4 linked regions of the Stegostoma tigrinum genome follow. The protein of the gene in region 1 purifies or fractionates together with the protein of each later gene. This does not show direct contact. Links are inferred from orthologs where the notes say so. Each region holds a gene or a part of one and is shown in the gene's direction. Other genes may lie near its edges. The genes, in order: bysl, riok2, pno1 and tsr1.

The links.
Region 2: the proteins of bysl (region 1) and riok2 purify together in Homo sapiens (affinity purification with mass spectrometry; 3 studies listed by BioGRID and IntAct, with this or other methods). This does not show direct contact. The link is inferred for Stegostoma tigrinum from reciprocal best matches to the Homo sapiens genes BYSL and RIOK2.
Region 3: the proteins of bysl (region 1) and pno1 fractionate together in Homo sapiens (co-fractionation; 4 studies listed by BioGRID and IntAct, with this or other methods). This does not show direct contact. The link is inferred for Stegostoma tigrinum from reciprocal best matches to the Homo sapiens genes BYSL and PNO1.
Region 4: the proteins of bysl (region 1) and tsr1 purify together in Homo sapiens (affinity purification with mass spectrometry; 3 studies listed by BioGRID and IntAct, counting the BioPlex papers as one, with this or other methods). This does not show direct contact. The link is inferred for Stegostoma tigrinum from reciprocal best matches to the Homo sapiens genes BYSL and TSR1.

What each region holds. Positions count from the first base shown.
Region 1 is NC_081374.1:14,519,447-14,527,424, forward strand, and holds the start of bysl (bystin), read left to right. Parts: upstream 1-4,976; 5' UTR 4,977-5,136; coding exon 5,137-5,392; intron 5,393-7,978. UniProt on the Homo sapiens protein: Required for processing of 20S pre-rRNA precursor and biogenesis of 40S ribosomal subunits. May be required for trophinin-dependent regulation of cell adhesion during implantation of human embryos.
Region 2 is NC_081356.1:87,167,970-87,175,953, forward strand, and holds the start of riok2 (serine/threonine-protein kinase RIO2), read left to right. Parts: upstream 1-4,972; 5' UTR 4,973-5,109; coding exon 5,110-5,175; intron 5,176-7,979; coding exon 7,980-7,984. Other genes in the region: uncharacterized protein LOC125451045, read right to left, coding at 4,666-4,716. UniProt on the Homo sapiens protein: Serine/threonine-protein kinase involved in the final steps of cytoplasmic maturation of the 40S ribosomal subunit. Involved in export of the 40S pre-ribosome particles (pre-40S) from the nucleus to the cytoplasm.
Region 3 is NC_081362.1:4,265,912-4,273,355, forward strand, and holds the start of pno1 (RNA-binding protein PNO1), read left to right. Parts: upstream 1-4,443; 5' UTR 4,444-4,484; coding exon 4,485-4,673; intron 4,674-5,883; coding exon 5,884-6,033; intron 6,034-7,444. UniProt on the Homo sapiens protein: Part of the small subunit (SSU) processome, first precursor of the small eukaryotic ribosomal subunit.
Region 4 is NC_081380.1:47,861,521-47,868,975, forward strand, and holds the start of tsr1 (pre-rRNA-processing protein TSR1 homolog), read left to right. Parts: upstream 1-4,453; 5' UTR 4,454-4,464; coding exon 4,465-4,585; intron 4,586-5,985; coding exon 5,986-6,089; intron 6,090-6,462; coding exon 6,463-6,679; intron 6,680-7,455. UniProt on the Homo sapiens protein: Required during maturation of the 40S ribosomal subunit in the nucleolus.

The sequences.
Region 1 (7,978 bases):
CCTCAAAAGTAACAGTGCAAAACTGCATAATATCTCTTTCCTCCTGCATTTTGAACTATGATGGAAATCTTAATCAAAAATGACATCTATCATGTCTCAGTAGTAAAAACAAAAGTTCTATAACAATGATTATTCACTCATGCAGGTTTTTCTGTTCCCAAAGGCCACACCATCCCATTCTTGACCTGAAAAGTATACAGATTTTTAATAAAAATGCACATAATGTCCTTGTTTCACCCCAGAAACCACTCAAGATATATATTGTTCTATGGGGACAAACATTTATTCTTGTAGGAAGGAAGTGCAATTTAGCAGAAGTAGAAGGTTATTTCCCACTTTGGAATAATAATGAAGGAAATAAAATCATAACACATAATAAAATTTGGGGAATTACTTTAAATGAAATATACCCCTTAGGCTTTGTTCTACTGACAATAAACAGTGACTTACTTTCTAAAAGTACTTTTGCATATGGATGCACAAATCAGTGTAGTTTGGAACAAGTAAATGTTAGCACCAAATCAGCAATTAACAGAACTGAAGGAATCAGCCAAGATTCCATCTGCAAGTACTTTTTATTGTCAGAATAGACAAATAAACCAAGTTTGTATCTGATCCATACAAGGTAATCAGAATACATTGCAAGTGTTGAAATGTTATCATATCCGCCATATCCTAAATAGAAGAGCATCCACAATTTGCTGTATCTCAAAGTTCTGATATGTTGTCATCTTAACAAAATACTTACATGATATATGTTCATGTCTACAAGTGTTAACAGACATGCAAAATGGTGCTGCAGCAGAAGCATATTGACACAATGGGTTCCCAACAGCTTTAACATTTTGATGTTATCTCTCCACTTGCTGAACAAGGTAGCACGATACTGATTGAAGCGAAGAGGCAGCTGCCAAATTGATCCAAATTGGTTTATGACTATACAGCCTCTTTGGAAGGGCAATTCACCTCATCCCAATCTTCTGCTCATTTCCCACAGCCCTGCTATTTTTGCCTGTTCAAGTCATTATAGAACTATACAGTAATTACATTTCAAAGTTTTAAAAATACTTCCTTCAACCAATCAGGCAGCACATTTCAAAATCATAACAACTTGGGTCTTAAAATCAAATTCTCATCTCCCAGCTGGATATGAAAGAAGTGTGAGAGCTTGAAAAAATGATAGGAAGGGGAGCCTTTGGGAGAATCTGTCTTGTTTTGAATGAGACTGTGGAGATTTTTTTCATTTACTCATGGCATGTGAACATCCCTGGCTGGGCCAACACTTACTGCCCATCCCTGGTTGCTCTTATGAAGGTGGTCGTGAGCCAGCTTCTTGAACTCTGAAGTCCATTTGTCCATTTAGAAGAATCGAGTCTTTAAGTCTTTAAGCAATGGGCAAGGACTGGGATTGCTAATCATGGAGATAGTAGGAACCGCCGATGCTGTAGAATCTGAGATAACATGGTGTGAAGCTGGATGAACACAGCAGGCCAAGCAGCACCAGAGGAGCAGGAAAGCTTGACATTTTGGGTCGGGACCCTTCTTGCTAATTATGGAAACTGGTAAAGGAACCAAAGGTGAGTATAGGGGGCAACTTGTATTTATATAGAAACTTTAATGTCATAAAACATTATGGGTAGAATGAAACTGACTGTGGGAATGTTGGAATGTGGTGTGTCTTATTGAAAATGATACATGTCACATAGGTGCAAAATGCAGTGTATTGGCCACGTGGGTCAGGCAGAAGTGGTTGGTGCTTTTTGATCCAGTGTTTTTTTTCCTCCCTCCCCTCGGGATCTGGGAAAAGAGGGGTATGATTTAGTTTTTGTTTCAACGTTTCTGAGGAGGTGTTGATTCGGAAGGGTATTATAAAAACAAAGTATGATACTCAGCCACATGGTGCGATATTGGAGCCCAGACATTTTGTCAAAAAATAGGTTTTAAGAAGAATTTAAAATAAAAGGGAGATAGAGAAGCGGAAAAGTGTAGGGTGAGTATTTCTGAGCCTGGAGGCCTAGGGAAGATATGACCATATAGTGATTAAAATCAATGAAGTACAAGAAATTAGGATTAGAAGGGCTTGGGTCATTGAGTTGAAGACAGAATGTTACGATGCCAGTAAAACTGACTAAAACCTCGTACAATAGGCATCATTCGACCCATGGAGACCTTATACAGGGAAAAAGACCTTTTAGCCCGTCGTGTCCTGTGCTGGTCATCATGCATCTATCCAGTCCAGTCCCATTTTCCAGCACTCAGTTCATAGCCCATAGCCTAGTATGTAATGGTATTTCGAGGGGTCATTTAAATGCTTTTAAATATCTTAAGGGTTCCCATCTAAACCATACTTTTAAGCAATAATTTCCAGACACCGACCCAACTGGAAGAAATTCCCCTGTAAACTTCCTGCTTTTTACCTTAATGCTGTGTCCCTCCCGTCATCTACCCCGGCTATTAACCACACTATTAAGAGGAAAAGATGTTTCTACCTACTTTTTCTATGACCCCATAATTTTGTAGACCTCAATGAGCTCTTTGTGGTCTAAGGAAAACAATCCCAGTCTAACTGGGTGCATTCTGAGGGAGGGTCACTCGACCCTGAACATTAACTGTGATTTTGTGGCATGGTGGCTCAGTGGTTAGCACTGCAGCCTAACAGCACCAGGGACCTGGGTTTGAGTCCAGCCTCAGGCAACTGTCTGTGTGGAGTTTGCACATTCTCCATGTGTCTGTGTGGGTTTCCTCCCACAGTCCAGAGATGTGCAGGCTAGGTGGATTGGCCAGGCTAAATTGCCTGTAGTGTTAGGGGAGTGTGGATTATGGGGTAATATGTCTGGGTGGAATGTTTCAAGGGGTGGTGTGACTTGTTGGGCCAAAGGGCCTGTTTCCACACTGTAGGGAATCTAATCTAATTTCTCCCCACAGATGCTGCTAGACTTGCTGAGCTTTTCTAGCAATTTCTGTTTTTTTTGCCCCAGTCCAATATACAGGACAATAAAATGTGAGGCTGGATGAACACAGCAGGCCAAGCAGCATCTCAGGAGCACAAAAGCTGACGTTTCTGGCCAAGACCCTTCATCAGAGAGGGGGATGGGGTGAGGGTTCTGGAATAAATAGGAAGAGAGAGGGAGGCGGACCGAAGATGGAGAGAAAAGAAGATAGGTGGAGAGAGTATAGGTGGGGAGGTAGGAAGGGGATAGGTCAGTCCAGGGAAGACGGACAGGTCAAGGAGGTGGGATGAGGTTAGTAGGTAGGTGATGGAGGTGCGGCTTGGGGTGGGAGGAAGGGATGGGTGAGAGGAAAACAGATTAGGGAGGCAGAGACAGGTTGGACTGGTTTTGGGATGCAGTGGGTGGAGGGGAAGAGCTGGGCTGGTTGTGTGGTGCAGTGGGGGGACGGGACGAACTGGGCTGGTTTTGGGATGCGGTGGGGGAAGGGGAGATTTTGAAGCTGGTGGAGTCCACATTGATACCATTGGGCTGCAGGGTTCCCAGGCGGAATATGAGTTGCTGTTTCTGCAACCTTCGGGTGGCATCATTGTGGCAGTGCAGGAGGCCCATGAAGGACATGTCATCTAAAGAATGGGCGGGGGAGTGGAAATGGTTCGCGACTGGGAGGTGCAGTTGTTTATTGCGAACCGAGCAGAGGTGTTCTGCAAAGCGGTCCCCAAGCCTCCGCTTGGTTTCCCCAATGTAGAGGAAGCCACACCGGGTACAATGGATACAGTATGCCTAATTGGCAGATATGCAGGTGAACCTCTGCTTAATATGGAAAGTCATCTTGGGGCCTGGTATAGGGGTGAGGGAGGAGGTGTGGGGGCAAGTGTAGCATTTCCTGCGGTTGCAGGAGAAGGTGCCGGGTGTGGTGGGGTTGGAGGGCAGTGTGGAGCGAACAAGGGAGTCACGGAGAGAGTGGTCTCTCTGGAAAGCAGACAAGGGTGGAGATGGAAAAATGTCTTGGGTGGTGGGGTCGGATTGTAGATGGCGGAAGTGTCAGAGGATGATGCGTTGTATCCGGAGGTTGGTGGGGTGGTGTGTGAGAACGAGGGGGATCCTCTTTGGGCGGTTGTGGCGGGGGCTCGGTTCGCAATAAACAACTGCACCTCCCAGTCGCGAACCATTTCCACTCCCCCTCCCATTCTTTAGATGACATGTCCTTCATGGGCCTCCTGCACTGCCACAATGATGCCACCCAAAACTTGCAGGAACAGCAACTCATATTCCGCTTGGGAACCCTGAAGCCCAATGGTATCAATGTGGACTTCACCAGCTTCAAAATCTCCCCTTCCCCCACTGCATCCCAAAACCAGCCCAGTTCGTCCCCTGCGCCCACTGCAACACACAACCAGCCCAGCTCTTCCCTTCTACCTACTGCATCCCAAAACCAGTCCAACCTGTCTCTGCCTCCGTAACCTGTTCTTCCTCTCACCCATCCCTTCCTCCCAACCCAAGCCGCACCTCCATCTCCTACCTACTAACCTCATCCCACCTCCTTGACCTGTCCGTCTTCCCTGGACTGACCTATCCCCTCCCTACCTCCCCACCTATACTCTCTCCACCTATCTTCTTTTCTCTCCATCTTCGGTCCGCCTCCCCCTCTCTCCCTATTTATTCCAGAGCCCTCACCCCATCGCCCTCTCTGATGAAGGGTCTCGGCCCGATACGTCAGCTTTTGTGCTCCTGAGATGCTGCTTGGCCTGCTGTGTTCATCCAGCCTCACATTTTATTATCTTGGATTCTCCAGCATCTGCAGTTCCCCTTACCACTGATACAATTTACAGGACAGATTGGATGAGCTCTTTCAAAGGGCCAGCATCAGCAGGATAGGCTGGAAGGCCTGCTTCCGACTGAAAGGAAGCAATAAGTATGGAAAGAGACCAAGTGGGAGAAAGGCAGGAAGGAGCACTTGAGTAGAATGAAACTGGCGATGTAATTATGGAACGTGGTGCGTCTTATTGAAATTGATACACGTCGCGCAGGCGCAGGAGTCAGTGCACTGGCCACGTGGGTCGGGCAGACGTGATCAGTGCTTTTCGATCCGGTGTTTTCCTTCCGGCGTCTAGGAAAGGAGGGGTACGATTCCGTTTTTGTTTCAACGTGTCTGAGGAGGGGTTGGTGCTTTAGTTTGGACGGGGTGATGCCGAAAGCGAAGGCGGCTAAAGGCAGGCTAAAGGAGTCCAGGGGCCTGGCCTTGGCCGATCAGATCCTGCAGGAAGATGCTGTCAAACCGATCAGCCGCAACAAGAAGCGGGGCCGGGGCGACGAGGCTGACGATGAGTACGTGGACGAGAAACTGTCCCGCAAGATCCTGGAGCAGGCCAGGATTCAGCAGGAGGAGCTGGAGGCAGAGCATGGAATCAGCAAGAAGAAGAGACCCCAAGCCACGGTCCTGGGTAGGTTTGACTGCACCGTACGGCCAGAAAGCGCGGGAGCCGGGGGTCTCAAAGTGTAGTAACAGGTTTGGTATTAAATCCGCATCACCCAAGGTTGCCAAAGCAGTTTCGAAAAATAGTTAACCAGGCTAAACAAGTGTTGGAATATCGTATGATCTGGAATTCTGTCAAAATTTAAGGGAAAGTTGGATAACTGCAGGGGGAAGAAATAAATGCTGAGCAACTTAGATGAAAATCGTCTGAAGCATGAACGCCAGTAGTTAGTTGGCCGAATGGCCCGACTGAAGGTGCTTTTGATGTGTTCAGTTGAAATAATAACCCATTTCTTTACAGAATCTAACAATCCTGCTATTTACATTTCTTGCGTGGTGTGGTGATTCTAAGACCACAGTTGATGCATACAAACTATCTTTCTTTGTTGAGCGCAGAAGTGAACATTCAGGTCTGTACCACTTTCAATGAGAAATCAAGTTAGAGCCTGAATTGCATTTGCTGTTTTCTTGCTGGTGAAGGAAAAAAACAATTTGGTTCCTTTTTAATAGCTATAATTGAACCTGTATCCGTCACCCTAGCAGATTCTGCCTTACAGATAAGTCACCTCACTCTGTTGGTATTTGTCTTAGGACCCTTCACCCTTAAGTCATTGATAACTTTCTGTTTATGTGCAATATTGTCTTCAAACCCTTTTTTTAAAAAAAACCCTCTTGAAGGCCCTCTTTAGCTTCTTCTCCATGGACGACAACCCTGAAGAAGAGTTAATTTGGACCTTTTTAAAATTAATTTGTGGGATGTGGGCATTGCTGGCTGGCCAGCATTTCTTCTCTGTCCCTGGCTGCCCTTGAAAAGGTGGTAGTGAGTTGCCTTCTTGAACCGCTATAGTCCACCTCCTGTCAGAGGGAATTCCAGGATTTTGACCCAGCAACAGTGAAGGAAAAGTGTACATTTCCAAGTCAGGACAGTGAGTGGCTTGGAGGGGATTTGAAGGTGGTTGGGTGTTCCCATATCTCTGCTGTCCTTGTCCTTCTAGATGGAAGTAGTCATGAGTTTGGAAGGTGCTCTCTGAGGATGTTTGGTGAATTTCTGCAGTGCATCTTGTAGATGCTACACACTGTTACTACTGATGATTCCGTGAGTATGACTTTGTCAGGCTGTCTTCACTAGTCTGTGAGACAGCTCTCCCAATTTTGGCACTAGCCCCCAGTTGTCAGTAAGGAGGATTTTGCAGGGTCTACAGGGCTATTTCTGCCATGGTCTCTTCTGGTGCCTAAGCTGATGCCAGGTGATCCATCTGGTTTCATTTCTTTGAGATCTTGTAGCGATTGGTACAACTGAATGGCTGGCTTTCTAGGCCATTTCAGAGGGCAATTGAGAGTCAACCACACTGCTTTGGGTCTGGAGTCACATGTAGACCAGACCAGGTGAGGATGGTGGATTTCCTTCCCTGAAGGACATTAGTGAAACAGACGGGTTTTTCCGACAATCGATGACGATTTCATGGTCGTCAGGAGATTCTTAATTCTGGATCTTTTCATAAAAAGTTCTGCTATGGCAGGATTCAAACTTGGAATCCCAGAACGTCAGTGATCGCCTTCCCGATGACATTGATTGATTTTTTTCTCTCTCTGTAGACGTTGCCAGGCCTGATGAGTTTGTAAGTGAAGAGTTAGTTCTCCAAGTAGTTGTTATGTACCTATTTGTAAAAACTGGAAATTTCTTTGTATTGTTAATGACTAATACTTTAGGACATTAATGATGTATTGTTTTGCTATTGGATCCTTTGGACTTTTGGAGTTTAGGAACAGGAGTTGACTATTCAGCCTGTTGAGCCTGCTGTAGATTCAATATGATCACAGCTAATTGTCCAATTCCATGTCTTTTTCCCCCCCACACTATCTTCTTACTCCTTAATATCATGGGTCTTGAAAAATCTGTCAATCAAACAAATGCAGTGAATGAGCTTCCACAGCTCTCTGGAGTATACATTTTCAAAGATTCATGTTCCCCCAAAGTTTTTTTTAAAAAAAAACTTCTCATCTCAGTTCTGATAGGCTTCCCCATTATTTTCAAATTGTGACTCTTGTTTCTAGACTTTGCAACCAGAGGAAACCCCTTGTCTGCATCTTTCCCATCCTTCACTTCAACTATTTTGTAGATTCCAATGAGATGACCTCTCACTCTATAAAATGTCATCACAGTTTCCTCAGTCTCTCTCTTCAAGATTAGTTGAACATTTTGAGATCTGGTAGAATTTCAGAGCACCCCCTCTATAGTGGTATTACCCTTCTTAAGGTAAGGGCACCAAAACTAGACATGCTGTGCACTCTGGATGCAGTCAAACCAAGTTTCTGTATAATTGAAATGAGACTTCACGATTTCTGTACTCACATCCTCTTAACATGGAGAAAGGCTAACGTACCATTACCCTTCCTAATTGCCTGTTGCACAGGATTCTCTAGTACAATCAGAAAATGGTAAAAATGTGTAGCAGCTGAAATGGAAAGGAATTGAGGGGGAAAAAAAGTTAAGATTTGGATGGAGATTGTTAATCTGATCATTTTCTTTTTAGTTTGTGGTATCAGTAAGTTG
Region 2 (7,984 bases), on another chromosome or scaffold:
GCAGAGTGGACAGAGGGAAACCAGTAGGTATGTTGCATTTTGACTTCCAGAAGGCTTTCAACAAGGTACCTCACAATAGGTTCAGTCGCAAGATAGGAGCCCATAGTGTTGGAAGCAGTATATTGCTGTGGATAGAGAACTGGCTAATGGACAGGAAACAATGAACGGGGATAGGGGGTTCTTTTGCAGTTGGCAACCTTTAATCAGTGGGGCTCCAGACGGATCAATGCTGGGACTGCAACAGTTTACAACATGTATTAATCACTTGGAGGAAGGGAGCTAATGCGCTATAGCCAAATTCACAAATGAAACAAAAATAGATGGAAAGGCAAGTTGCAAAGTAGATACAAACAGTTTGCAGAGAGATATTGATAGGTTATGTAAGTCGACAAAATGTTGACAAATGGAGTATAATGTGAGAAAATGTGAGAATTTGGAAGGGAAAACAAAATAACAGTATTATATAAACGAAGAAAAACTGCAGAAAGCTGCAACACAAAGGGACGTGAGGAGTACTTGTGCATGAAACACAGAAAGCTAGCGCACAGGAAAGTTAATGAAATGTTAGCCCTAATTTCGAAGAGGTTGGAAAGTATAAGTAGGAAAGTCTTACTGCAACTATAGAAAGTGTTTGTGTAGACCATATCAGGAATACTGTGAACAGATTTGGATCCTTTATTTAAGGAAACATCTCATTTCATTGCAGAAGGTTCACTGGGATGATCCCTAGTATGGAGGGATTATTTTATGAACAAGGGCTAAACAAGTTGACACTCTATTCATTGTTGGTTAGGAGAATGAGAGGTGATCTCATTGAAACACACAGGATTCTTAAGGGGCTTGACAACGTAAATACTGAGAGGATCTTTGCCCTTGTGGGAGAATCTAGGGCCAGAGGCTTAATCTCAGAATAAAGGAGTACCAATTTAAAACTGAAATAAGGAAGATTTTTTTTCCTCAGAGGGTTGGGAGCCTTTGAAACTCCTTGTTACACAGAGCTGTGGGGTCAGAGTCCTCGTGTATATTTGAGGTTGGGTCAGATAGATTCTCAATCAGTAGGGAACCAAGAGCTTTGGGGAAACATGGATATGAGGAATGTTGGATCCGCCATGATTCTACTGAATGATGCAGCAGATACAAGGGGTTGAATGAGCTACACCTGTTCCTAATTCTTAGAGCCTAACCAACGTTTTCAGAGATGCACAGCTTTGGAACAAGTGGGAATTGATTCAAGGCCTCCTGACTCACATGTAGGGACAATACCACCACTTTCTTGATTTCTTGATTGATTTGGGATTGAACTCAACACACATGCTTTTGACTATTCTGTTTAATATTTATGGATAACAAAAAGCAATCAATTTTAGATTGAAAATTTACTATTCATCCAGATGAGTGTTATTGGAGCAGCTAAGATTTAATGAATGGCAGAGGAGGCTTCAGGGGCCAAATGGCCTATATGTGTTCTGTTTTGTATGGTCTATGGGTTTATTAAATGTGAACGCCTTAACTTTTGATACAGGATTATTTCTTTAAAGGGGCAGGACTACTTTTGTTTGTTGTTGAATATACCAAAACAATTCACTTTCACCTCATTATTTAAACAGACATCCACGGACAGATATTGACGTTTTTTCTGAATTCTGTTACCGAGGTGCCAATCTTCATCCTCACTCCACTGCTTCTCTCCACAGATGCTGCCAGTATCTATCCTTAATAAGGGGATCCCAATGTGGTCTTAGCAAGGCCCCAGGCACACCTTCCAGGTGAAGCAGCAATCCATCTGTACTTAACTCAATCTAGTCTACACTATTCACTGCTCACAACATGGTCTCCTCTATATAGAGGTGAGGCCCTTCTTCAGAAATGGGGGAGGGGAAGGGGCTCTGAAGTAAATAGAGAGCAGGAGGCGATGATAGAAGGTGGCTAGAGGAGCAGATAGGTGAAGAGAAGATGGACAGGTCAAGAAGGCAGGGATGAAGCCAGTAAAGGTGAGTGTAGATAGGGATAATGGGAACTGCAGATGCTGAAGGATCCAAGATAACAAAGTGTGGAGCTGGATGAACACAGCAGGCCAAACAGCATCTCAGGAGCACAAAAGTTGACGTGTCGGGCCTAGACCCTTCGTCAGAGAGGGGGATGGGGAGAGGAAACTGGAATAAATAGGGAGAGAGGGGGAGGTGGACCGAAGATGGAGAGAAAACAAGATAGGAAGGGAGGAGAGTATAGGTGGGGAGGTAGGGAGGGGATAGATCAATCCAGGGAAGATGGGCAGGTCAAGGAGGCGGGAAGAGGTGGTAGGTAGGAAATGGAGGTACGGCTTGAGGTGGGAGGAAGGGATGGGTGAGAGGAAGAACAGGTCAGGGAAGCAGAGACAGGCTGGGCTGATTTTGGGATGCAGTCGGGGGAGGGGACGAGCTGAGCTTGTTTTGTGATGTAGTAGGGCAAGGGGAGATTTAGAAGCTTGTGAAGTCCACATTGATACCATTGGGCTGCAGGGTTCCCAAGCGGAATATGAGTTGCTGTTCCTGCAACCTTCGGGTGGCATCATTGTGGCACTGCAGGAGGCCCATGATGGACATGTCGTCTGAGTAATGGGAGGGGGAATTAAAATGGTTCGCGACTGGGAGGTGCAGTTGTTTGTTGCGAACCGAGCAGAGGTGTTCTGCAAAGTGGTCCCCAAGCCTCCGCTTGGTTTCCCCAATGTAGAGGAAGCCACACCGGCTGCAATGGATACAATATACCACAATGGCAGATGTGCAGGTGAACATCTGCTTGATATCGAAGGTCATCTTGGGGCCTGGGATGGGGGTGAGGGAGGAGGTGTGGGGGCAAGCGTAGCACTTCCTCGGTTGCAGGGGAAAGTGCCGGGCGTGGTGGGGTTGGAGGGGAGTGTGGAGCGGACAAGGGAGTCGCGGAGAGAGTGGTCTCTCCGGAAGAGAGACAAGGGTGGGGATGGAAAAATGGCTGGGGTGGTGGGGTCGGATTGTAGATGGCGGAAGTGTCGGAGGATGACACATTGTATCCGGACGTTGGTGGGGTGGTATGTGAGAACGAGGGGGATCCTCTGGGGGCAGTTGTGGTGGGGGCAGGGTGTGAGGGATGTGTTGTGGGAAATGTGGGAGACGCGGTCATGGGCGTTCTCGACCACTGCAGGGGGAAAGTTGCAGTCCTGGAAGAACGAGGACATCTGGGATGTGCGGGAGTGGAATGCCTCAACCTGGCAGCAGATGTGGCAGAGGCGGAGGAATTGGGAATAGGGGATGGAATGTTTGCAGAAGGGTGGGTGGGAGGAGGTGTATTCTAGGTAGCTGTGGGACTCAGTGTGCTTGAAATGGACATCAGTTTCTAGCTGGTTACCTGAGATGGAGACTGAGAGGTCCAGGAAGGTGAGGGATGTGTTGGAGATGGCCCAGGTGAACTTGAGGTTGGGGTGGAAGGTGTTGGTAAAGTGGATGAACTGTTCGAGCTCCTCTGGGGAGCAAAAGGCAGCGCCGATACAGTCGTCAATGCAACGGAGGAAGAGGTGGGGTTTGGGGCCTGTGTAGATGCGGAAGAGGGACTGTTCCACGTAACCTACAAAGAGGCAGGCATAGCTTGGGCCCATGCGGGTACCCATGGCCACCCCCTTTGACTGTAGGAAGTGGGAGGAATCGAAAGAGAAGTTGTTGAGGGTGAGGACGAGTTCAGCTAGGCGGATGAGGGTATCGCTGGAGGGGGAAGGTCGGGCCTGCGGGACAGGAAGAAGCGGAGGGCCTTGAGGCCAACTGCATGAGGAATACAGGTGTATAGGGACTGGACGTCCATGGTGAAAATGAGGTATTGGGGGCCAGGGCATTGGAAGTCGTGGAGGAGGTGGAGGGAGTGGGTGGTGTCACGGACGTAGGTAGGGAGTTCCTGGACCAAAGGGGAGAAAATGGAGTCCAGATAGGTGGAGATGAGTTTGGTGGGGCAGGAACAGGCTGAGACAATGGGTCAACCAGGGCAAGCAGGTTTGTGGATTTTGGGAAGGAGATAGAAATGGGCTTGGTGGGGGTTGCGGGGTTGGGGAACGATGAGGTTGGAGGATGTGGGTGGGAGGTCCCCTGAGGTGATGAGGTCATGGATGGTGTTGGAGATGATGATGGTTTGGTGCTCGGGGGTGGGGTCATGATCAAGGGAGTTGGGATGGGGGTTCGTCAGTGCGGTGGGAGGAGCAGATAGGTGGGAGAAAAGCTAGACAGCTCAAGGGTTTCACAGGTGTTTCTGCCACCCGTCTGGGCACTCCTGGGCTTGAGGTTCCCACCAATCTGTGACGAATTTTCGGGGCGGCTTTGAACCATTCCCTCTGCAAGCCATTAGCACCCTCAAAGAAAGTAATACCCCTGTCCACTGACTAGCGGGAATTGCAAGCCCAACACAGCCCAAACTGGAGGAGAAGCATCCCCATGAAAATGCCAACCGTTTCGATCGTCTGCGGCAGGTGTTGAGGAAGGCCAAGCGGAATGCAGCGTGCGAAAGCCCGAGCATCCCACCCACTGGCTCCAGCAAATACCGCCTTGCCCCACCTGTGGCAGGACTGAGTGGTTCCAGCACTGAACTTTCACAACAGCCGAGTGAAGGAAAGTCATCTTCACTGCCCAGGGACTGCCTAATAAAAACGGACACCAGTGGACACGTACGCACCGGGATCTTGGGCGGCAGCTCTCGGCCCCGACTGTTCCTGAGAGATGACATGATTCCGAGCTATAACCAGAATAACTCCAATGATCAGCGTTCCGAATCCGCGAACCCAACCGTCTCCAGGCCCTGGCAGCACAAAACACAAATCTAACACTGCGATACGCATCCATAGGACCAGTACTCCAATGTTAATCTCGTTGTTTCAAATCATAATATTAAATTCATATATTATGGAGGTCTTCAGAGACTGTGTTTGTTATTTCGAACTGAATAGTGAATTTTACTAAGTATCTTTGAGGACCTGGTAGAGAGTGCGCATGCACAGCCGGGTGAGATCCAGCTGTTGGGAAGGCCCTGTGTTTTCTGTCTGTCCGTACTCTGTTATAAAGGGATTGAGGTTGCAATTTTCTCTTCCTTTCTGTCTTCCACCTCACGCCGGTCTCAGCGATGGGGAAGCTGAACGTAGTGTTGCTGAGGTACCTACAGAAAGATGATTTCAGAGTGCTGGTTGGGGTAAGTTGCCGGTCCGGGCCTGTCGGAACTCGGTTTGTGCTCGATTAAAGTTCACATGTAATTCAGAGGGGCTGCGTGATTTACCATAAGGAGGTATCTCTATATCAGATCCTTCTGTTTTATAAACTGGCTGCGATGTGCTCCCTCATCAGCATAATTTCGACTTTAAAAAATGGAGTTTAATGGAATTGCTGAATAATAAATCGCTTGCCCTATCTGTTAGTTCAATGTCCGCTGCTTTTCTCGGAGCGGAGGAAGCGAACACGTTCTTGATACGTTTTATGCCACAGGCAGTCATTTAAGATATAACACAGTGGCTTTTTTCTGGCGAATATTTTCACATTAATCATTTTTAGTACTTAATGTCTCAGTAAATATCGAACTCTCAGAAAACGTTGGAAATATTCCAAATATATGGAAAAAGAAAAAGTGACGTTAACAACTTTTGTCGGATCTGGAAACAGTTAAGAGCTGAAACATTTTCAGCAAGTTGTTGTTGAAGCAGAGGAAGGAAAGAAGAGGGAAGAGCAGAAAGCAGTTGATACTTGACTATGGTAATAATTAGCTCACCGAACAAAAGCAGCTTATCAATAGATTTAATTGCATTAAGGTTGGATCTGACAGAAGAGAGTTACAAATTAAAGGGCATGAAAGTGGTTGTGAGGAATGTCAGATCTGTCATGATCCTGTTGCATGGAGAAGGCTTGAGAGGCCCCAGCAGCCTACTCTTGTTCCTATTTCTTTTGGCCTAAATTTAGAAAAGATTACAATCCTTGACATCTGTTGGAAAGGTTTTTATTTTCGTGAAAGCATTACTTGAGATGAAGAATGAAATTCAACTATGGATCAGGATAGCTTTTTGATGGTGGGTGAAGAGAGAGGTTGAGGGTAAGTGTGACAGTGCATTACATAGAATGCACTGAGAGTGGTGCTTCAAAGAACAAAAATATGTTGGAGATATCTGTAATCATTATTGGATCCGAAACATGGCAGAAGAAATTTCAAATGAAATTCATGGGGAGTATGTCAGAAGTAGAGAGTTGCTGACAGAAACAATAACAGTAGAGAAGGTAAAAAAGACAAATACAAATCTCATCAAGTTCCTGGAAGAGAACTGGGACTCAAGTAAGCATAATTACAAAAGCCAAATACAGCAGATGCTGAAAAACTAAAATTTTAAAATACTCAACAGGCCCCAATTGAGCCAGTTTCCTGCTTTGCCAAGTGATCACTTTTTTTGTAAATTTTATAAGATTATTGAATTATGATGGTAGCTTTTTTAGCCCACTCATGAGTAATTTTTCAGTATGACTTCAATGAAGTATAATGGGGCATGAACTTTCAAACTCTGTCCACTTAAGCTATGGAAAACCAGCTGGTCTTTCGTATAAGGTTTCTCCTTTCAAATCTGTACTGAAGATTTAAGGCAATAATAAAGAGACATAATGATAGTGTCACTAGATTAGTAATCCAGAGGCCCTAGTTAATAATATGGAACATAGGTTCACGTTCTACCATGGCACTTGGCGATATTTAAAATCAGGTAATAAATCTGGAATTAGGGCCTTTGTGGTGCAGTAGTAGTGTCCTTACCTCTGGGCTAGAATGTTCAGGTTCAAGTTCTTCCTGCTCCACGCATATATCTTAACAGATTGATTAATAGCTAATTGTCATGATTTAAACTGAAAAATGAATATATCGCAAATTTATACCTATTCCCAGGGATGGTGATGGTGAGTCTATTGCTGAGAGTTGTAAAGATACAGCTGGTTCACTGACATCCTTTAGAAAAGGAAGTCTGTTGTCCTTGCCAGATCTAGCCTCTGTGTGACTCCAGACCCGCAGCAATGTGATTGACTCATAGCTGCCCCATTAAGTGTGTGTAGCAAGCTACTCGGGATCAAGGGCAATGAGGGATGGGCCACAAATATTGCTGCCTGCTAAGTTCATATTCCATGAAAAGAATAAATAAAAATAGGTTGGCAAGAAGTCATTTTAATTCATGGGATGTGTTTATTGCCTATTCCTATTCACCCTTGAAGTTGGTGGTGAGCTGCCTGCTTGAACTGCTGCAATCCATGTGCTATAGACGGAACCCCAATACCATTAGACAGGGAGTTTTGATTTTGGCCTTGGGAACAAATTACCAAAGAAATACCCTGTCAACCTTTAAAAGTGGCTAGGATGAATTCTTAATAACATTTCAAGTTACAAAATATAGCTTGTAGGTTCCTGTGAATAGTAATAATTGAGGGTCTCAACAACTCCTCTGATTAGGATTGAGAGAGATTTCCTAGAGATTTTCCTGTGATGTTTACTTTGCCTGTCTTCTTGTGGGAGATAGGTAGTAGTAAGCTAGTCACGTAATTACCTTGATTTTTTTTACATTTTCTTTCAGTTGGCAGCATGGTAGCTCAGCAGTTAATACTGCTGCCTCACAGCTCCAAGGACCCTGGTTCAATTCCACCCTCAGGAAACTGTCTGTGTGGAGTTTGCACATTCTCCCCGTATCTGTGTGGGTGTCCTTTGGTTTCCTCCCACAGTCCAAACATGTGCAGGCTAGGTGGATTGGCCACGCTAAATTGCCCGTAATGTTCGGGGATGTACAGATTAGGCGTGTTATTGGGGGATGGGTCTGGGTGGGATGCCCTGACGGTTGGTGTAGTCTTGTTGGGCCAAAGGGCATATTTCCACGCTATAGGGATTATATAATGATTCTATAATGAAATCCTGTCTTATTTTTATCTATTCCAAATCTTCTAAATTGATAGTTTCATCTTTATTTTGCTCTTATTACTGTACAGGTCGA
Region 3 (7,444 bases), on another chromosome or scaffold:
GGATGAACACAACAGGCCAAGCAGCATCTCAGGAGCACAAAAGCTGACGTTTCGGGCCTAGACCCTTCATCAGAGAGGGGGATGGGGGGAGGGAACTGGAATAAATAGGGAGAGAGGGGGAGGCGGACCGAAGATGGAGAGAAAAGAAGATAGGTGGAGAGGAGAGTATAGGTGGGGAGGTAGGGAGGGGATAGGTCAGTCCAGGGAAGACGGACAGGTCAAGGAGGTGGGATGAGGTTAGTAGGTAGCTGGGGGTGCGGCTTGGGGTGGGAGGAAGGGATGGGGGAGAGGAAGAATCGGTTAGGGAGGCAGAGACAGGTTGGACTGGTTTTGGGATGCAGTGGGTGGGGGGGGAAGAGCTGGGCTGGTTGTGTGGTGCAGTGGGGGGAGGGGACGAGCTGGGCTGGTTTTGGGATGCAGTGGGGGAAGGGGAGTTTTTGAAACTGGTGAAGTCCACATTGATACCATTGGGCTGCAGGGTTCCCAAGCGGAATATGAGTTGCCGTTCTTGCAACCTTCGGGTGGCATCATTGTGGCACTGCAGGAGGCCCATGATGACGTCATCTGAGGAATGGGAGGGGGAGTTAAAATGGTTCGCGATTGGGAGGTGCAGTTGTTTATTGCGAACCGAGCGGAGGTGTTCTTCAAAGTGGTCCCCAAGCCTCCACTTGGTTTCCCCAATGTAGAGGAAGTCACACTGGGTACAGTGGATACAGTATACCACATTGGCAGATGTGCAGGTGAACCTCTGCTTAATATGGAAGGTCATCTTGGAGCTTAGGATGGGGGTGAGTGAGGAGGTATGAGGGCAGGTGTAGCACTTCCTGCGGTTGCAGGGAAAAGTGTCAAGTGTGGTGTGGGTGGAGGGGAGCATGGAGCGGACAAGGGAGTCACGGAGAGAGTGGTCCCTCTGGAAGGCAGACAAGGGTGGGGATAGAAAAATGTCTGGTGGTGGGGTCGGATTGCCTCCACCTATCTGGACTCCATTTTCTCCCCTTTGGTCCAGGAACTCCCTACTTACATTGTGACACCACCCACGCCCTCCACTTCGTCCAGGACTTCCAATTCCCTGGCGGCCAACACCTCATTTTGACCGTGGATGTCCAGTCCTTATACACCTGTATTCCTCATGCAGATGGCCTCAAGGCCCTCCGCTTCTTCCTGTCCTGCAGGCCCGACCAATCCCCCTCCAATGACACCCTCATCTGCCGAGCCGAACTTGTCCTCACCCTCAACAACTTCTTTCGATTCCTCCTACTTCCTACAGACAAAGGGGGTGGCCATGGTTACCCGCATGGGCCCAAGCTATGCCTGCCTCTTTGTAGGTTACGTGGAACAGTCCCTCTTCTGCACCTACACTGGCCCCAAACCCCACTTCTTCCTCCGTTACATCGATGACTGTATCGACGCTACCCCTTGCTCCCCAGAGGAGTTCGAACAGGTCATCCACTTCACCAACACCTTCCACCCCAACCTCAAGTTCACCTGGACCATCTCCAACACATCTCTCACCTTCCTGGACCTCTCAGTCTCCATCTCAGACAAACCAGCTAGAAACTGATGTCCATGTCAAGCCCACGGACTCCCACAGCTACCTAGAATACACCTCCTCCCACCCATCCTCCTGCAAAAATTCCATCCCCTATTCCCAATTCCTCCGCCTCCGTCGCGTCTGCTCCCAGGATGAGGCATTCCACTACCGCACATCCCAAATGTCCATGTTTTCCCCTGCTGCAGTGGTCGAGAACGTCCTTGACCACGTCTCCCGCATTTCCTGCTACACATCCCTCGCACCCCGCCCCGCCACAACCGCTCAAAGAGGATCCCCCTCGTTCTCACATACCACCCCACCAACCTCCGGATACAACACATCATCCTCCGACACTTCCGCCATCTACAATCCGACCCCACCACCCAAGCTATTTTTCCATCCCCACCCTTTTCTGCCTTCCAGAGAGACCACTCTCTCCGTGACACCCTTGTCTGCTCCACACTCCCCTCCAACCCCACCACACCCGGCACCTTCCCCTGCAACCGCAGGAAGTGCTACACTTCCCCCCACACCTCCTCCTGGATGTGAGTTTGCTCGCTGAGCTGGAAGGTTAATTTTCAGATGTTTCAAGTTCAAGATAGAAGAGGATAAAATAATGGTCTCCTTTGACGTAACAGCCCTGTTCACATCCATCAACATCAACCTGGCCAAAGAAACACTGACTATGCTATTAGAAGAACTGAAGACACATACACCAGACACCACCAACCTCATCAGCAAGGACAACATCATCAAGCTAGTGGACCTATGCCTTGCCACCCACTTCACTTTCAATAACAAAACCTACAGACAAACCAACGGTACACCCATGGGATCTCCGATATCAGGGTTCTTAGCAGAGGCAGTAATGCAGAGACTCGAACAAACAGCTCTGCCAATCATCCAACCCAAACTTTGGGTCCGCTACGTGGCTGACACCTTTGTCATCACTAAACAAAACAAATTAGAGGAAACCTTCGAGACCATCAATAATACCCTTACTGGCATAACATTCACAAAAGAGGAAGAAAACAACAACAAACTGCCATTCCTAGATGTCACAGTAGAGCGAACAGCCAATGGGGAACTTCAAACCAGCGTCTACAGGAAAACAACACATACGGACCAAATACTGAACTACAGGAGCAACCATCCCAACACCCACAAACGAAGATGCATTAGAACATTATTCCAATGAGCCACCACACACTGCAGCACAGAGGAACTACGCAGAGCAGAGGAAAACCACCTATACAGCGTATTCAAAAAGAATGGGTACCCAATGAACACAGTCCACCGATTTCTCAGCAATAAACCCAAACAAACAGACAAAACGGGCCCAGAAACCATAACCACTCTCCCCTACATCAAAGACATTTCCGAAATGACTGCCAGACTACTCGGACCCCTTGGCATCAGGGTAGCCCACAAACCCACCAACACACTAAAACAGCAGCTAATGAACTTTAAAGACCCTATACAGACAACAAGCAAAACGAACATCATCTACAAAATACCTTGCAAGAACTGTGACAAACACTACATTGGACAAACTGGCAGAAAGCTAGCCACCAGGATACATGAACATCAACTAGCCACAAAACGACATGACCCACTATCACTCGTATCCTTACATACAGATGAGGAAGGACACCACTTTGATTGGGACAACACATCCATCCTAGGACAAGCCAAACAGAGACACGCACGAGAATTCCTAGAAGCATGGCATTCCAACCGGAACTCCATCAACAAACACATTGATTTGGAGCCAATCTACCATCCACTGAGAAAAAGAACAGGAAATGACATCACCAACACAGGAAATGACATCACCAACCCAAGGAACTCTAAACAGATAAATAGAAAGTGGGACATAACACCAGCGCTTCATCAGAGGCTCACTGATGATGTTACCTAGAATGGTGACGAAATGTCTGAAAACTAACCTTCCAGCTCAGCGAGCAAACTCACATTTAGAACATCAACCTGAGCTACAAATCTTCTCAAAACTCGCTAACACCTCCTCCCTCACCCCTATCCCAGGCCTCAGAGAAGGTTTACTAAGATGATCCCCAATATGGATGGATTGTCTAATGAACAAATGCTGTGCAAATGCTAAACAGCTTGGGTCTCTACTCGTGCCATTTAGAAGCATGGGAGTTGGTCTCTTGAAACATATGCGATTCTTAAGGAGCTTGACAGGATAAATGCTGGGAGGATTTTCCCCTCACTGGAGAGTCGAGGACAAGAGGGCATCCCACCCCTTTCCTCATCACCCCAACTCACTAATCTGCACCCCCGCATGCCTCATCTTACCTACTCTTACCCTGTCTCATGTGCCCCACCTTCCTCATCTGCCCACCCTCCCAATTCCACCATCTGTCCCAGTCCCCTTCTCAGTCCTACCCCACCACTCCCCCTCAAGCGTCCTACCTCCCACACCTCTTATCCATCCTACCACCTCATCCACCCCAACTCTGTCATCCACAGCATAGGAAGGTGCCAGTTTGAGACAAATGAGGAAAAATTTCTTCTCCCAGAGGGCTGAGAATCTTTGGAAAACATTGCCACAGAGACCTGCGGGGACAGAGTCCTTGTGTATAATTAAGTCTAAGATAAAAGATTCTTGATCGGTCAGGGAATCAAGGAGTATGGGGAAAGGTTAGGACAGTGGACGTGAAGAATATTGGATCAGTTATGATCCCAGTGAATGGTGGAACAGGTTAGAAGAACCGAATGGTCAACTCTTACTCCTATTTCTTATGGCCTTTTCGAGCCTTAAGGGTGCACGTGGTGCAGAAGAGCCCTGCCCAGCGAGCACATGCCATGGGGTCCTGACTGTGCAGTGACGTCACTGTGAATACGGTCTATCCCCGGCAATGGAACGCGGGGGGGAATCAGGCGAGTAGAGTGGACAGCCCTCGGCTGGGGTCCTTTCGGAGCAGCTGTCATGGCGGCGGAGGTGATGGCAGGACCGGAGCTGGGCTCAGATGCAGAGCGAGATCTCGAGTTCATCAGCGCCGCAAAGAAGCGGGGGAAGCGTAAGAGGAAGATGGAGACGGGAGCGGCCGGCATGGAGGCGGAGGACCCGCCAGCGAACAAAAGGCCTGAGTTCCCCGCTATCTCCGGACACCAGCTGGTGGGTGAAGAGGACGGTGGGAATACGGTTCATTAGTCACACACCCGCCGCCCATTCGCACACTCCCCCCCCCCCCCCCCCCCACCATTTGCACTCTTCCCCCACCCCCCCACCATTTGCACTCTTCCCACCCCCCCACCATTTGCACTCTTCCCCCCCCCCACCATTTGCACTCCCCCCCCCCACCATTTGCACTCCCCCCCCCCCCCACCACCATTTGCACTCCCCCCCCCACCACCATTTGCACTCCCCCCCCCCCCACCATTTGCACTCTTCCCCCCCCCCCCATTCGCACTCTTCCCCCCCCCCCCCCCCATTCGCACTCAGAATATGCTCATTCTGTTCTTCCTCCCTCCCTCTCTTCCCCATCCTGCCCCATTTTAAAGTTAGAGACTATTTTCTAACTTGGGAAAGGCTTCAGAGATCTGAAACACAGGGGTCTTGGGTGATCTAATTCAGGATTCTCTTAAGGTCCTTGTGGCAGTTAGGAAGGTAAATGCAATGTGATCATTCATTTCAAGATGACTAGAATACAGCAGAAATATACAACCTCTTCCTTGTATCTAAGGAAGTGCTGGCATTCTGCAGAGTTTAGAGGAGGCTTACAAGAATGATTCTGGGGATGAAGAACTTGTCATTTGAGAAGCAGTTGAGCACTCTGGATCTGTACTCCGAGTTTACAGAATATTGAGAGATCTACATAGAGTGGATGTAGAAAAAATGCTTTCAATCCTGAGAGAGACTGGGACCTCAAGGGACATTCTTTTGAACTGAAATGAGGTGGAATTTCTTCAACCAGAGGGTGGTGAATCTGTGGAGCTCATTGTCACAGAGGGCTATGGAGATCAAGTCATTGAGTTTATTTAAGACGCTGTGAGATAGGCTTTTGATTAAGTAAGGGATTAAGGTTTATTGGGAGATGTTGAGGGAATAGCATTGAGAAACACGTCAGCCATGATCGAATGGCCTAATTCTGTTCCTATAATCTTTCTGAAGAAGTGTCTGGACTCAAAGTCAGTCTTCCTGCTGCTCTGATGCTGCTTGGCCCGCTGTGTTCATCCAGCTCTGCACCTTTGTTATCTCATTCTCCAGCATCAGCATTTCCTACTATCCCTATAATCTTATTGTCTGTCTTCTGATTCATTTTAGAGATCACATGTGGTTCTTTTAAAGTTTGCATTAATCCTGAGAGATATCATTTTTCTTCTAGGATGGCAAAGATGAAATTCGCAAAGTAGCTGTACCTGCACACAGATATACACCTTTGAAAGAGAACTGGTTGAAAATCTTTACCCCAATTGTTGAACACCTGCAGCTACAAGTGAGGTTTAACCTGAAAACTAGAAATGTTGAAATCAAGGTAACTATGCTCAGAATTATAGTTACAAAAGGAAATAATGTGTTGGTGATACAAATAGCAATACCAGGTACTGATTCAGTTTAACAAGGTCTACTAGTGGATGAACACAGCAGGCCACGCAGCATCAGAGGAGCAGGAAAGTTGACGTTTCGGGTCTGGATCCTTCTTCAGAAATGCCCATTTCCGAAGAGGGATCCAGACCCGAAACGTCATCTTTCCTGCTCCCCTGATGCTGCGTGGCCTGCTGTGTTCATCCAGCTCTACACCTTGTTATCTCAGATTCTCCAGCATTAGCAGGAAATGACATCACCAACCCAAGGAAACCTAAACATATAAATAGAAGGCGGGACACAACACCAGCGCTTCGTCGGAGGCTCACTGATGATGTTACCTCGAATGGTGACGAAACGTCCAAAAACTAATCTTCCAGCTCAGCGAACAAACTCAATCCAGAACCTCAACCTGAGCTACAAATCTTCTCAAAACTCGCTAGTTCCTACTGTCACTGATTCAGTTTAGGTGTTTTGTTCAGGGCAGGGGATAGAATGGATCCACTTCCTCTCCATAGGCCAGGTTATGCGTACATAGTATGTTTAGAACAATGGCAAATTATGCACAGGAGAATCGTAAAAGTGATTGCACTGAGACAAACCATTTGCTCATCATGATAGTTCCAGCACATGTAAGAGCAGAACACCTCTTTCTCCTGGTTTCTCTCTCCAATAACCCTCCATATGTCTCTTCAAGTAATTATTCTATGCTGTTTTGAAGGTCACATTTGAATCAACTTCTGTTACACCAGCGCAATGTATTCCAGATCCTAACCACTCACCTTACTTTCTAGACCAGAATGCAAATCTTAACATTAAAGGATTTCTAAAGTAAATTCTTTAGAATGCCTTCCAATTCTTTGCAGTTTAACAGACTCATTTTTAGGGCCAGAGCGCCTAATTCTAGTGATATGGAAGAATTTCTTCTGAGATGTGAGTCTTTGTAATTCCTTGTCACAAAGAGCTGTGAGGGCAGAGTTCTTGTATATCTTTAAGGCTGGGAGAGATTCTTGATCAGTAGGGGAATTAAAAGTTATGGGGAAAATACAGTTACATGGACATGAAGAATGTCAAACCAGCCATAATCCAATTGAATAGTGGAGCAGGCTCGAAGCACCACATGGCCCACTCTGGAGCCCCTTGTGGAGTAAAGGGAAATTATATGAAATCTGTTTTGAACTGAGCAGAGACCTAGTCTGTTCCATCATGTGGTTTAATGAATATGGGACTCAACTCGTGGGCTAGTTCCAGGTGGTAGTGTGTTATACTTTCAAGTCTGATTTGATTTTTTTCTAAAACTAATGGTACGTATTAACTTTTAAACAGACAATGTTTAAGACTAAACTTGTAGCCACTCCTAA
Region 4 (7,455 bases), on another chromosome or scaffold:
AAAGCTTCCACATCCTTCTTATAATGCAGTGACCAGAACGGTACACAATACTCCAAGTGCGGCCACACCAGAGTTTTGTACAGCTGCAGCATAACCTCTTGGTTCCGGAACTCGATCCCTCTATTAATAAAAGCTAAAACACTGTATGCCTTCTTAACAGTCCTGTCAACCTGGGTGTCAACTTTCAAGGATCTGTGTACATGGACACCGAGATCTCTCTGCTCATCTACACTACTAAGAATCTCACCATTAGCCCAGTACTTTGCCTTCCGGTTACTCCTACCAAAGTGCATCACCTCTGCATTAAACTCCATTTGCCACCTCTCAGCCGAGCTCTGCAGCTTATCTATGTCTCTCTGCAACCTACAGCATCTTTCATTACTATCCACGACTCCACCGACCTTAGTATCGTCTGCAAATTTACTAACCCATCCTTCTACGCCCTCATCCAGGTCATTTATAAAAATGAGAAACAGCAGTGGCCCCAACACTGACCCTTGCGGTACACCACTAGTAACTGGTCTGCAGGATGAACATTTCCCATCAACCACCACCCTCTGTCTTCTTTCAGCAAGCCAATTTCTGATCCAAGCTGCTATATCTCCCACAATTCCATTCCTCCGCATTTTGTACAAATGTTAGGAAGGCAAATACAATATAGCTAGAATACAAGAGCAGGGAAGTATTGCTGAGACTGTTAAGGGTCTGTTCAGATCACATTTGGAATATTGTGAGCAGTTTTGGGTGCTATTGAGATGTGGAGGAACTTTTTCAGCCAGAGGGTGGTGAATCTGTGGAAGTCGTCACCACGGAAGGCTGTGCAGACCAAGTCACTGAGTGTCTTTCAGACAGAGATAGATAGATTTTTGATTAGTATGGGATTAAGAGTTACAAGGAGCAAGCTGGAGAATGGCGTTAAGAATCGTAACAGCTGCCTCGCTCCCTTATTAACAGGGGTGTTACATTAGCAAACATGGGAAACATATTATCCATTACTCCCAACAGCATTCATTACAGTGCTCGAGCACCAGATAGAATACCATTGTTTTGACTGAGCTGTAGTTTAATTTCCAGGCTGTGAGAATCTCATAAGGTCTTCCTTGATTCGACACACAACTGAATTTAAACCTCAGAGATAATGGGAACTGCAGATGCTGGAGATTCCAAGATAATAAAATGTGAGGCTGGATGAACACAGCAGGCCAAGCAGCATCTCAGGAGCACAAAAGCTCCTGAGATGCTGCTTGGCCTGCTGAATTTAAATCTCCTTGGCTTCAAATAACACCTTCAAGTGTCTGAAAATTTTACCAAACTCCTTACACTGTGGGAACTTATTTTTAACAATTATGAACTATCATATACTTTCCTTATGAGTCATTGCTTTACACATTCAACTTTAGCAAAGGACCCTGCAGAACCACCGTAACTGAATCTAAAAAACCTCAAACTTCAATTTCCCCAAGCTGTGGATTTTCTCCTAAGTCCAAAAAAAACAGAATCTTCAAAGCATTCAATAATGTTCTGCATGGTAGACTGGTTAGTAAGGTTTCAGTATATGGGATCCAAGTGGAGCTAGCTATCTGGATACAAAATTGGCTTGAAGGTAAGAGATAAAGGGTGGTGGGGGAGGGTTGCTTTTCAGACTGCAGGCCTGTGACTAGTGGTGTGCCACAAGAAACAATGCTGGGTCCACTACTTTTCATCATTTATTGAAATGAATTGGGTGTGAATATAGGAAGGATTGTTAGACAGTTTACAGATGATACCAAAATTGGTCTGTAATGGACAGTGAAGAAGGTTATCTCAGAGTACAGTGGGACATTGATCAGATGGGCCAATGGGCTGAGGAGTAGCAGAAGGAGTTCAATTTAGATAAATGTGAGGTGTAGCATTTTGGAAAGGCAAATTAGGGCAGGGCTTATACAATAAATGGCAGCATGTTGGAGAGTGTTGTCGATCAAAGAGACCTACAGGTGCAGTTGCAGGTGCATTGTTCCTTAAAAGTGAGTTACAGGTAGACAGAGTAGTGAAGGTGGTGTTTGGCACACTTGCCTTCATTGGTCAGACTATTGAGCATGGGAGTTGGGATGTCATTGTGCGGGTTTGCGGCACATTGGCGAGGTCACCTTATCAATACTATATACAGTTCTGGTCTCCCTGCTATAGGAAGGATGTTGTTAAACTTGAGAGGGTGCAGAAAGGATTTACAAAGATCTTGCTGGGTTTGAACTATAGGGAAAGGCTAAATAGGCTGGGGCTATTTTTCCTGGAGCATCGCAGGCTGAGGGGTGACCTTATAGGGGTTTATAAAATCATGAGGGATGGGGAATAGCTAAGGTCTTTTTTCTAGGGGGGAGGATCTAGAAGTGGACAACAGATGTTTAAGTTGAGAGAGGAAAGATTTAAAAAGGACCTGAGGGATAACTTTTTCACGCAGAGGATGGAGGGAGCTGCCACAGGAAGTGGTGGAGGTGGGTACAGTTACAAACATTTAGTAGGCATCTGGATGGGTACGTCAGTGGGAAGGGTTTGGAAGGATAGGGGCTGCTTGGCTCTATTTTCTATCTGAAAGCTTAATATGCTTCAATGCTTACTTTGTTCATTTTAAGAGGAGGCAATAACCTTGTGGTATTATCAGGTGATGTTCTGAGTTCTCAGGAAAGGTCACTGGACCCGAAAGATTAACTCTGAATTTGTCTTCACATTTACTGCTGAGCTTTTCCAGCAATTTCTGTTTTTGTTTCTGATATTCTGCAGACCTTGGTTCAAATCCCGCCAGGACAGATGATGGAATTTAAATTCAATTTAAAAAATCTGGGACTAGGAGCCAAATGACTACCATGGAACCTTTGCCCATTGTTGGGAAAAGCCCACTGCCCTTCAATCACTAATGTCCTTTAGGGAAGCAAATCTGCCATCCACACCCAGTCTGACCCACATGCGAATCCGGACCCACTGCAAATGTGGTTGACTCTTAACTGCAAGTGGGGCTATTGGGGATGGTCCATAAATGCTGGCCCAGCCAGTGATGCCCCATGAACAAATAAAAAATATCCAAAGATCCAAACTCTAAATTAAATGATGTTAAGTCAGACTGCTGAATCTGTCATCGTCTGACAGTTGTGCAGCTCCAGCGTCCTCCCCTAAAGGACATCAATGAACCGGCTAAGATTTCACGACAATTTGACAGGTTCAGCATCGCTTTCACTGAGACAACTTTTATATTTTCTAGTTTTTAACTGTGTTCATATTTTCAGACTGTATTTCAAACAGCATCCTGTGGATTATTCACCTGCATCACTAACACCTATTCCTACACTCAGTCTCTCTCCTGCTAACCATTATCAGATACAAGCCATAAGACTCCCTCAAAACGTCAGCTTTCCTGCTCCTCTGGTGCTGCCTGGCTTGCTGTGTTCCTCCAGCTCTGCACCTTGTTATCTCTAATATCATAACAGTTTTAACAAATAACATGGTTGGCATGATCTGTTCAACTGAAGGGTCTGTGTCCATGCTGTATGACCCTCTCGTGTGGAATGTTAGTACATGGATCAGTGACAATGACAAGAGAGGCTGAATGGTCAAAGCTTTGTTTTAAATAATTGAATGAAGTTGTGTGAGTAATGGAGTTGAACTGTAAATCTATTTGACTTTATTCTCCAGTCTGTGCCAACAACTACTTCTTGTTCCTAGACGACACGGTGTGAAGCAGGCCAAGCAGCATCAGAGGAGCAGGAAGGCTGATGTTTCGCGCCTAGACCCTTCATCAGAAAAGCTCCAATTACTCCTTTCTCCTCTCTGCCAGGAGATCTGCTGTCATGGTATGTCCCGCTCAACTGTCTGTGCCATCCTCTCTCTTATCCACTGGGGATCATCTGTAACCGCCTTGTGATGCCCGTTATCCAAATACATCAAGACCGATCCCTGCTGCCTTGCGCCCACTGGAAGAGATCACTGCAGCTCTGATCAGATGTCCTGGATGTCACATTTTCCTCTTCATTACGGTCTGCACATGGAATGTACGGCCATCACGCACATTTCAGCAGTGATTTCCACACAGAGCACTGTTCAATCTGGAAAGGATTGCAGTCTGACTCTTCTGAGTTATACCAACAACAGCTTATACTTTTCCTCACAGCACAAAACTGCAAATACTGGAATGGCCCGCCTCAGAACTGTTGGCAGGCGTGGTATTTCCAGAATTATCTGAGTGTATGTTTCAATTTGAAGATCATAGATATTTCAGACTAATAGGCCCAAGAACAGTGAAGGTGGATTTGCAGAGATTTGAACCCTCCCTGAAGATGTCTCCTCTGTGTTTCTGGTCATGAACCACAAGATTGATTTACCGCCAGGCCCCGGCCCCGCCTCCCTCCCAGGAGCACTCCTCCAGTATCCCAGCATGCCGCAGGGGCCGGATGGCTTCAGGTCTCCTCCTGCTGCCGTGGTGAGCTCTTTGTGAAGATGGCGGGTGATGGGTCCCTGAGGCAGGAGGTGCACCGGCCCGGGGCCTTCAAACAGAGCAACAAGGAGCACAAAACCGGGAGGCACCGCAGCAAAGGCGGCCTGGAGCGGGAGCGGAGAGGTGGGGGGCGGGGGGCTGACACACGCACACACAGAAGGGACACGTGGCTGCGGGGGGGGGGGGGCGGGAAGGGTGTAAGAGGATGAGGGGCGGGGGGGGGTGAGAGGGGGGCGAGGGGGGCGGGGGGGGGTGAGAGGGGGGCGGGGGGGGGCGAGAGGGGGGCGGGAGGGGGGCGGGGGGGGCGAGGGGGGGCGGGGGGGGCGAGAGGGGGGCGAGAGGGGGGCGGGGGGGGCGAGGGGGGGGCGGGGCGGGGGGGGGGTGAGAGGGGGGCGGGGCGGGGGGGGTGAGAGGGGGGCGGGGCGGGGGGGGGGTGAGGGGGGCGGGGCGGGGGGGGGTGAGAGGGGGGCGGGGGGGGGGTGAGGGGGGCGGGGCGGGGGGGGGGTGAGAGGGGCGGGGCGGGGGGGCGGGGGGGGGTGAGGGGCGGGGGGGGTGAGAGGGGGGCGGGGGGGGTGAGGGGGGCGGGGCGGGGGGGGTGAGGGGGGGGCGGGGCGGGCGGAGGCGGGGGGGGCGGTGAGGCGGCGGGGGCTGTGGGGGGAGGGGGCGGGGCGGGGGGTGTGGGGGGAGGGGGCGGGGATGTGGGGGGCAGGGGGGTGTGGGGGGCAGGTGTGGGGCTGGGGGCAGGAGGGTGGGGGCGGGGGGGTGTGGGGCTGGGGGCGGGGATGTGGGGGGCAGGGGGGTGTGGGGCTGGGGTCAGGGGGGCGGGGGTGTGGGGGGTGTGGGGCTGGGGTCAGGGGGGCGGGGGTGTGGGGGGCAGGGGGGTGTGGGGCGGGGGGCAGGAGGGTGGGGGGGCGGGGGGGTGTGGGGCTGGGGGCAGGAGGGTGGGGGGCGGGGGGGTGTGGGGCTGGGGGGCGGGGGGGTGTGGGGCTGGGGGCAGGAGGGTGGGGGGCTGGGGGCGGGGATGTGGGGGGCAGGGGGGTGTGGGGCTGGGGGCGGGGGGGTGGGGGGCTGGGGGCAGGGGGGTGGGGGGCGGGGGGGTGTGGGGCTGGGGGGCGGGGGGGTGTGGGGCTGGGGGCGGGGATGTGGGGGGCTGGGGGCAGGGGGGAGTGTGGGGCGGGGGGGTGTGGGGCTGGGGGCAGGGGGGAGTGTGGGGGGCAGGGGGGAGTGTGGGGGGCAGGGGGGTGTGGGGCTGGGGGCAGGGGGGAGTGTGGGGGGCGGGGGGGTGTGAGGGGCGGGGGGGTGTGGGGGCTGTGGGGAAGGGGGCGGGGGGTGGGAGGGTGAGGGGTTGGGGGGGCAAGGGTGCAGGTGGAGGGGCAAGGGCGCAGGTGAGAGGCGGTGTGCAGGAGGGGTGGAGGATGGATGGCGGGGAGGAGGAGGGGAGGGCGGTTGGGTGGTTTTTGTCGGGGAGTTGGTTGGGTTGGCTGTGACTCTGCCTGATCACTGTGTCCCCATGTTGGCTCCAGGCAGAGTGAGTGTGAAAGTGAGCAGCAAGAAGCTGAGAAAGGTGCTGAGGAAACATGATCGGCGACACCAGGCATTGCAGATCCGCCAGCAGAAGAGGGAGGCGGTGAGTGTGCCCCCATTTCTCCCCCCCCCCCATCTGCTGTACTTTACCCTCGCGCCACCCCCCCCCACTCTCATCACCCATCCTGTTGGCCTCATCCACACCCTGTCCCCATTTCCACCCCCAAAATTTATCTCTGGAGTTAAATGAAATAAAACAAAGAGCTGTGGGTGTTGGAAATCTGTAACTAAAACTGAAAGTGCTGGCGAAACTCAGCAGCCCTGTCCGGCAGCGTCTGTGGAGCGGTCAGGATTTGGTGCTTGGATGCGCCCCTCCCTGTTGCCAGATTCAGTCACGCACACAGCTGCAGGTTGGAAAGTGGATGTATTTTATGAACTACAAAGACACAAACTTTCTGACCCATGTTCTGCTCTAGGTACTCAGTGAGAAGAGGAGCCTGGGCACTCAAGATGGTCCCCCCCATCTGGTGGGTGTCATCGTATTACACTCTGGTACAAGTGGCCAGAATGTCATGAGGCTAATTCGGACTGACGAGACCTCGAGTGTGTACGACCTCGATGGAAGTGGTGAACGATTTGGCTTGGTTTGCCCCAGGTTCAAACAGAGATTCAGCTTCATCCGAGTGAATTCAGGTCAGTGGCAGAGAGCTCTTGAGAAGTCTCAGCAGATTCATGCGATCAGCTTTCATTCATGTAGCTGTGATGTAGTTAAGAGTGTGGATAACCAAACACTACATACATTGGAGATAATGGGAACTGCAGACGCTGGAGAATCCAAGATAACAAAATGTGAGGCTGGATGAACACAGCAGGCCAAGCAGCATCTCAGGAGCACAAAAGCTGATGTTTCGGGCCTAGACCCTTCATCAGAGAAGGGGATGGGGTGAGGGTTCTGGAATAAATAGGGAGAGAGGGGGAAGTGGACCGAAGATGAAGAGAGGAGAGTATAGGTGGGGAGGTAGGGAGGGGATAGGTCAGTCTAGGGAAGACGGACAGGTCAAGGAGGTGGGATGAGGTTAGTAGGTAGGAGTTGGGGCTGTGGCTTGGGGTGGGAGGAAGGGATGGGTGAGAGGAAGAACAGGTTAGGGAGGCGGAGACAGGTTGGACTGGTTTTGGGATGCAGTGGGTGGAGTGGAGGAGCTGGGCTGGTTGTGTGGTGCAGTGGAACTCCCTAATTATGTCATGCAGTCTCAAATGGATACTTCAGATGAGTTGTTGTTTACATCTACAGCCGAAAGAAACCAACAGAGGAACTGTGGATGCTGGAAATCAGAAACAAAAGCAGAAGTTACTGGAGAAATTCTGCTGGTCCAGCAGCATCTGTGGAGAGAAAGCCGAGCTAATGTTTTGAGCTCAGTGACCCTTCTTTATAACAGGTTTATGTATGTCATGTTGAGGATGCCTCACAT